2 linked regions of the Ovis aries genome follow. Each later gene encodes a partner of the first gene's protein in a complex. Links are inferred from orthologs where the notes say so. Each region holds a gene or a part of one and is shown in the gene's direction. Other genes may lie near its edges.

Region 1 (3,749 bases):
CTTCCCTTGAGCACAGCTCCTTCGGGGCCAGGGTGGAGTGCAGACCACATGCCATCCAGGGTCTGCCATGTAAACCCTGTGGATTGAAGAGAGCACAGCGTGGGACGAGGTGACCCTCATTCTGTGACTTGGGGTGACCCCTGCCCCCATTCTGAAACTTTGATCCCTCTCTGTCTGCCATCAGCACATTCTGTAGGCTCTTGGGTTTCCCGGCTGCCTGGGTATCCCATTTTCTTGGGGGGGGATTCCCTCTCAAGGATGGGGGGGCCCTGAAGGCTCTGTTCCCAGAGGTTGAGTTAGAGCCATGGTGGGGGGGTGGTTTAGGGGAGAGACAAGCAGTCCTGGCTCTGCTCACCAGGGCCTGGACACTAAATCCCTTGTTGATGGCTGCAGCAACCCCTCCCTAGGGTAGGGTTACCATCTTCTGCCTTGTCCCCTTGACCCTCTCCCCTCCCTGATTCCCCTTGTCCCTTTAGAGCCACTTCCTCTTGCCCCCAAAGGATGTCCTCTCCCTTTTCAGCCCCTTGAGGGCTGGGTATCTCTGCTGCCATTTCAACAAACTCAGTAAGGAAGGCTGAGTCTGCAGCAGTAGAAGTAGGTTCAGAGGGGATGAGATGGGAAGGGGGTTCGAGGAAAGGGAATAGAGAGAAGTGGGCTGAAGGGAAGAACTGGAAGGAGTGACTCTGTAAGAAATTCAGTGCAGCTCAAGAAGTCGGGGCAATTGGGGAAGGGCTCAGCAGCAGAAGACAGAAATTGAGGTCTCTCCCTGCCCCCTTCCCTGGGGCTGGGGCCACCTTAGCTTCCCTCATGAGTGACATCTCAGGCTGCAGCCCCACTGTTCCCCCTCGTCAGCAGAAATATCTCTCTCTTCTGACCCCTCCTGCTAGAGTCCCGGCCAGCCAATCCCTGGTCTGAGGGAGGGGGGAGCCTGGCCCCCCCACTCCCTCATAAGGACCAGCTGGGGGCTGGGGGGGTGGCCGGCTGCTGTAAGTGGAACGGGGGTCAGAGCTTCGTGAAGGGAAGAATAACTTGGGGGGGGGAAGGAAAGAAAAAGGAAGACACCCAGACAAACAGGCAGGTGGATACACTGAGGAAGGCCCCCGACGTGTGAGAACCCCCCCAGAAGGAAGACACCGCCCCCTGGCCCCCAGGAAGGGAGCACCATGGAGGCTGCGCACTCCAAGACCACAGAAGAATGTTTGGCCTATTTTGGGGTGAGCGAAACTACAGGCCTCACCCCGGACCAAGTTAAGCGGCATCTGGAGAAATATGGCCATAATGGTAAGTGTTCCCTGGAGGAAAAGGCTGGTAACACCCTCCTACATCCCTACAACATACACACACAGACACACACACACAGAGACTCACTTACACACACTGACACACACACACTAAAGCCTCTCCCTCCAGGGTATCTTAGCGAAGAGGCAAGACCTGGTCACTTGAGGGCAAGGGAGGGGAGGATACTGAGAAAGCAGGATCCCTGAGTCCCTGAGTTTTGGCAAGTTTTTTGGGACAACCTCGGTGAACCTCAGCTTTTTGGTGGCCTGATTCTCTTACCTTAGTCACAAAGTCCTGGTTGTGGGTGGCATTAGACTGAATGCCAAATGAATAATATCCTTTTCTTCTTTTTCCCCGGGCAGAGCTCCCTGCCGAGGAGGGTAAGTTACTGGAAGCCCTGAGCTCTCACAAATGACACCTCCTTCCCTCTGGGCCCCACTCCCTTCTCCCTGTCCTCTCCTTCCAATTCCTGGGGCAAATGTTCCTCCCCAAAGGTTAGAGTCTGGCTGGGGGCAGAAGTTTCCAGGCACGTTCTCCTTGAGGCATCCAATCCTTGAACAACTGCCCACCACTTTGAGGAGCCTGTTTCTGGACTTCGGGCCAGCTCCCTCAGCCCTTTTCTCAGTACCAAATGGCCTGCCCATCACCCTAGACCTTTCCTGCTCCAGGCTGGACTCCAGCCTGCACCTGGAGTCCCTGCATTCATCCGTTAGACCTTAACACCGCTCCCCCCGCCCCCCCACCTCCCTCCCCTCCCCTTGCCTCTGCCCTCAGGGAAGTCCCTGTGGGAGCTGGTGTTAGAGCAGTTTGAAGACCTCCTGGTGCGGATCCTTCTCCTGGCCGCCTGCATTTCCTTTGTAAGTGTGTTGCGCGGTGGTGCGGCGGGGCAGGTGGGGCAGGGGGGTAAGGGGGTGTATCTAGGGGCTGGCCTGAGCTGTGGATTGGGGGGATCTGGAGAATCTGCTCGTGGGCAGCCCCAAATCAGCGGCTCCTTTGGTCCAAGCCCTCAGCATCCTGTCCTACAGACTAGAACTGAGGGAGAGGGATGACGCTGACTTGCATACTCCTCTGTCCTCCCCCACACCCCGCAGGCAGGTTTTATTTTAAGCTTTAAGGATGTTCTCAGCCAAAACACTGAAGCTAAGCCGCCCCCGGAGCTTCAAGGGCTCCGAGGGCTCGGGTTACCCCCCCAGCGCCGGGCTCCGGGGCTCAGATGCTACTGCTGTTCCCAGGCCACCACGGCTCCCAGCATGCCCCGGGGCTCACACACGGCTCCGCCAATCCCCGAGCGTCCCGGAGCTCCTGCCCCTCCCCCCTGACGCTGATTGGTCGACACAGAAACTCCCTCCTAGAGGCGGGAAAGAGCTGCTGGTGCGAGGGGAACTCCAAAGGCGCTCAAAGGCCCAGACCCCTCACCTGTCCCTGGGCCTCACTTCCCAGCTACCCCTATCAGGGCTGGAACTCCCGGGACCCCCTTCCTCGTCCACTTGACCTGACCCTCCCCTTCCTCCTCAACCTCAGGGCTACCCCCACCCGCCTCCCAAGGGCCTGCCTCGGCTCCTGCCCTGGAGCTCCCCTGCGCACCTACCAGCCTAGCAGTCCCGCCTGCATTTTGGACTTCCTTTCTTAACATCGTAGTCCTCCTGGAAGACAGGACTCTGGAGGCAAAAGCGTCTCCTTGTCCCCTGGTCTCTGTAGTAGAGGCCCCGCGGGCCCCTGAGTACTAGCTGGCAGAACCCCACTTCTCCCTTCTCAGATTTGCTCCTTGACATTTGCCTGTGGCTGTTGCCTGGCAGTGGCAACAGCTGGGGTGGGGTGTGTACAGGAGGCCCCGTAACACTATCCCCTCCTCCTGCTCCCTCATGAAATTGGAGCTTCCCTGCCTCAGGCTGTGGGGGAGGGCTGTGGGTGGGCAGGGCGCCTGCGAGGACCACAGGGTTTTTTCTATCGGATTTTGGCTCCCGTGGGATGGATGTGGCTTGAGGGTAGTTGGCCTGGGTGTCCCCTGAGCTTCGTGTACAAGCCAGCAACTTGGTCAGGGAAACCTGAAAGCATTCCCAGCTAATCCCCGAGCTGTGCATGTCTGTGCCCGCCTGTTCTCGCTGAATAACAGCAGTGGCTGCGCTTGTGTGAGTTAAAGGAGTGGACCGTGTAGGCACTTAAAGGGATGTGGGGCTGCAGTGCCTCCGTGATGCCCCGCCCACTTTGCTCCTGCACGTGTTCTCATCTCTGTCTGCTCCCTTTAACCACCTGAGGGGCTTTATTATCTGTTGATCTCCTTCCCTTGCTCCCCAGGTGCTGGCCTGGTTTGAGGAAGGCGAAGAGACTGTCACCGCCTTTGTTGAACCCTTTGTCATCCTCTTGATCCTCATTGCCAATGCCATCGTGGGGGTTTGGCAGGTTAGCTTTGACCCCACCCCACCCCATTCTTTCACATCCTGACACTGGACCTGAGGCCAGCCTCCCTC
Region 2 (3,749 bases), on another chromosome or scaffold:
GCCATTTTCTTCTCCAGGGATCTTCCTGACCCAGGGATGGAACCCATGTCTGTCGCACTGGTGGGCAGAATCTTTACCACTGAGCCAGCAGGGAAACCCTGTTAAACCCTTCAGAGGTTCCATTTACCACCAGACACCTAGAATGTTTATTACAAACTCATTTTAGTAGTCAAATTTTAGTAAATGTTTATGTTTGAATGTTACACAATTTTATTTCTTTCAGATATACTATATCTCACACTTTCCACTAGTTTTTACCAGTTCTCCTGCTACCCCCAATCTATCCAAATGACTGAGTTTTGCTGTATGGGTTTACTGCTGTATTAGTATATTGACAGAGATATATAAACCATGGCTTCTACAGCTGTTTCAGATGAAACTGTATATTGATGTGTAAACTTGCAACATACAGCTTAGCCAGAAAGTTATGTGGAACAGGTGACTGGGGAGATAGCTTTCACCACTTGGACTAAAATCAGTTTTGAAGGAGCTAAAAGATGCCTATCGAATTCTGGTGCATGTGTGTGGTTTGAGGAGTGCATGTGCACGGCAGAGAATTCTTTATACTTCAGAAACGTTGAAAACATGGGTGGTTAAATGAAGTTACACTTTTACACCCTCATATGCTAAGTGGAAGAGGCAGCCAAATGCTGTAAAAATTTGTTAATATTAGTCTATCACTCTTGGTTTACAGTGTTTTGAACACATGTTAGAGATACTTGTGAAGATGTAAAAGATGAATTTAAAACCTACATCAATTGTACCAAAAGTCAACTGGAAAGAAAAGGATTTTAAGTCCTTGAGCTTTTATTAATAATACAAATTCGCAGCCAAAGGAATAGCCTTAGTCAACACATTTTCATGTCCCCCTAAACACAAATAGCCTCCAACCTTTGGAGGTTGTTCCTTCGAGATGTTTCACCAGTGACATCACAGTGATTGCCACCTCCCTTGGACTACTTTAGGCCCTGCCCAGAGCCCAGAAGTCCAGACAGCCTGGGAGACAAGCAGGAGTTGGAGCCCAAGTAGGAGAGAGAGAGGAGAAGCCTACTGCAGCCCAGTGTGTCCTTGACCCTATTCAGGTAACAGCAGGATTTTTAAGCTTAGCATACAGTGTGTATGTGTGTACAAGTTGCAAATAAGAAAAGCACAGGAATATTTACATTTCTTAATGAAATAGACAATGCCTGTTGTACACAGTGTTTCTTAGACTAGAAAGAGAATATTATTGATTCTTGTTTTCCTTTTTTTCACCTTATGGCATGTGTTGTCTCCCTTCCTATTAAAAAATACCATACAGGAAAATATGTCTTCCATCTTTTCAAAGTCTCCATTCAAAGAAAGTTAATATCAAACAGTTTATTCAGAGTTCTTCTGTTTTTTTTCACTTTGAATCATATACTGTGATCTTGATGTCAGGAAAGATTTAAAATGAGGCCAAAATTGTCTTTGTGGGTTAACAGCAGAATAATGGAAGATTGCTGATCTGGGGTTTTACCTAACTGTGGTATAAATGTGTGTGAAATTAGAGCCCACTCCCTATAGTTAGCTTATATGTTGATTGAATTGGATTCACTAGAAATTCCCACCTTAATGCTGTGTTTTATTACTTTAAAAACATACAAAACAACAGCATTTAAGCTTACCATCAAAGGGCAAGATATAGTAAGAGGTAAACCATAGGTAATAAAGAAGTGTGATGAGTAGCTGTCAATTCAGAGACCACTGAAAAAAAATGTGAAGAGTCCATAAAACATACCCTTTGAACAATTATTGTAAGGCAACATCTGTATTAATATCACTCAGGTCAAGAAATTGTCATTGGCGCACTCCAGAATTCCATTCTTGATCACTTTTCCCTTTTGCCTTATCATCGGTAATCATCATCTTAATTGTTGAGCTAGTCTTATCCATGGTTTTCTTTATAATTTTACCATTTCTGTCTGCGTTCCTAAACAATATAGTTAAATTTCCTGTTTTGGGGTTTGAAGAAATAGAATTACATTCTGTGTTTCTTTTTGTAAATTCCTCTTTTGCTTCATAGTTATTTTTGTGAAATCCACCCATCTATTATGTGGTGCTGAGGTTCATATATTTTATTTGCTCTATAGCATTTGAAAGTATGAACATACCACAGTTCACATTCATTCTATTGCTGATGAACATTTGAGTTGTTTCCAGCTTAGGACATTATGAAAACGTTGCTATGAACATTCTTATATATATAAATCCTGGTATATATGTGCTTGAGTTTCTAAAGTAAGAGTGAAAGAGCCAGATAAAAGAGAATGAACATTATCAACCTCAATTTAAAAATGTCAAATTGTTTTCCCAAAGGTCAAAAATTTACACCAGCCAGGGCAGTTATTTGTGGTTATCATTCATGTTATCACTCCTACAGAGTAACCACAATCCAACAACTATTTCCAGCCTGCCAGTTCTAGTTCTGCCTCTAACTTGCTATGTGTCATCACACAAACAACTTAACCTCTCTCTAAAAGTCAGCTTCTTAGCAATAATCTTGGGAGAGAGAAAAATCACAAAACTTGCCTGAGTTGTAAAAGTCCGAATTGTTGGGAAGGTCACATGAACAAAGCTCTGGACAACTTTCAGCAACATTTTCTGAATGTGTTCCTGTCGTGTCACAGTCTCATAAGATTTGATGGGATAGTTATTTTGCCCTTCCTGGGTAAAATAATGGGTTGTTTTGATCATTGTAAATAAGGCCTCAAATTTTTTACATATCTTTGTACTTCTTTGGACTTACTCAAATAAATTAGTGTTTGGACCAGGATTTAACTTCATTAATAAATCCATAAGGAAGAATCTGCTTTAGAGTCTTTAGATTCTTTTGTTCTTAGGCTCCTTGCCTGAATTAATCAACTTCCTGTCCTCCTCTGCTCTGATGTACATGCTTATACATTCTCTCTATTTCCTTAATACTTCATTTTCTTCTGTTTACTTTCTCCTTCGAGCAAATCTTTGTAAAGGTTTTCATTGGAAATGGTGTAGAAGGCAAAAATATAAGTAAGAATTAAAAGGAAAGTGAATGATGAATCAGTTACCATTGGTCATATTTTAAACCAACATTCAACAACATACCTGTTAATATAATCTTATTGGAACTTATGTGTTATACCAACAATAACATAAGACATTAAAAAGGATCGTTTGACTGGTTTATGCAATTAATAATTTGGTACACTAACAATAAAAGAAATATAGTAATTATAATTCATAATTCAGGGGAGACTTCTTCCCCCTGAACTTCCACTTTAGAAAATAAAACACTTTTTCCCCTTAAACTTTTTCTACTCCATAGTAGACTTTTGCTCTAAATAGTTAAAATTTTATTTCTAATCTTTACTTTCATTTGGTTTGCATATACACAGTGTCAATTATGCCACATCACTGGAAGTAATAATTTAATGTTTCTCAAAGCATGATTTTCCACAAGTATCATCTATACAGACTATAAAGATACCACCCCCACTTTTTGAAGTGTTTACAATATAAGCACATCCTGGACTTGACTAAAAATAGCTGGCACAAGCCCTTGTTGAAATAGAAGTACCCATGGGGTTAACACTTGCTGTTTGGACTGAATGCCTGTTATGTGAGGGACTTTTTGTTGACCCCAGTAGGCTCTATGCCCAAAGCAGGGATTTCAAGAGGCCAAGCAGCTGTTGAAACTACTTAATGCTTTCACAGGGTTAGACAAAGATAGATCAGCTTGGAACTTGAAAAAT

Evidence for each region. The genes of interacting proteins can lie anywhere in the genome.
Region 2: the proteins of ATP2A1 (region 1) and SLN are in contact, whole or in part, in a crystal structure (PDB 3W5A), measured with the Oryctolagus cuniculus proteins. The link is inferred for Ovis aries from reciprocal best matches to the Homo sapiens genes ATP2A1 and SLN. Residues at the interface, in XP_069919846.1 of Oryctolagus cuniculus: Phe88, Val89, Leu96, Ala100, Ile103, Val104, Trp107, Arg110, Asn111, Asn114, Arg324, Lys328, Trp794, Leu797, Gly801, Leu802, Thr805, Ala806, Phe809, Trp932, Ser936, Leu939, Leu943, Leu946, Ile947, Val950, Pro952, Leu953, Ile956; in NP_001075856.1 of Oryctolagus cuniculus: Met1, Glu2, Arg3, Ser4, Thr5, Arg6, Glu7, Leu8, Leu10, Asn11, Phe12, Val14, Val15, Thr18, Val19, Leu21, Ile22, Trp23, Leu25, Val26, Tyr29.

What each region holds. Positions count from the first base shown.
Region 1 is NC_056077.1:26,456,813-26,460,561, reverse strand, and holds the start of ATP2A1 (sarcoplasmic/endoplasmic reticulum calcium ATPase 1), read left to right. Parts: upstream 1-975; 5' UTR 976-1,163; coding exon 1,164-1,281; intron 1,282-1,560; exon of another isoform or gene 1,561-1,643; coding exon 1,644-1,661; exon of another isoform or gene 1,662-2,055; coding exon 2,056-2,138; exon of another isoform or gene 2,139-2,315; intron 2,316-3,576; coding exon 3,577-3,681; intron 3,682-3,749. UniProt on the Homo sapiens protein: Key regulator of striated muscle performance by acting as the major Ca(2+) ATPase responsible for the reuptake of cytosolic Ca(2+) into the sarcoplasmic reticulum.
Region 2 is NC_056068.1:16,907,485-16,911,233, reverse strand, and holds the start of SLN (sarcolipin), read left to right. Parts: upstream 1-989; 5' UTR 990-1,082; intron 1,083-3,749. UniProt on the Homo sapiens protein: Reversibly inhibits the activity of ATP2A1/SERCA1 and ATP2A2/SERCA2 in sarcoplasmic reticulum by decreasing the apparent affinity of the ATPase for Ca(2+). Also inhibits the activity of ATP2A3/SERCA3.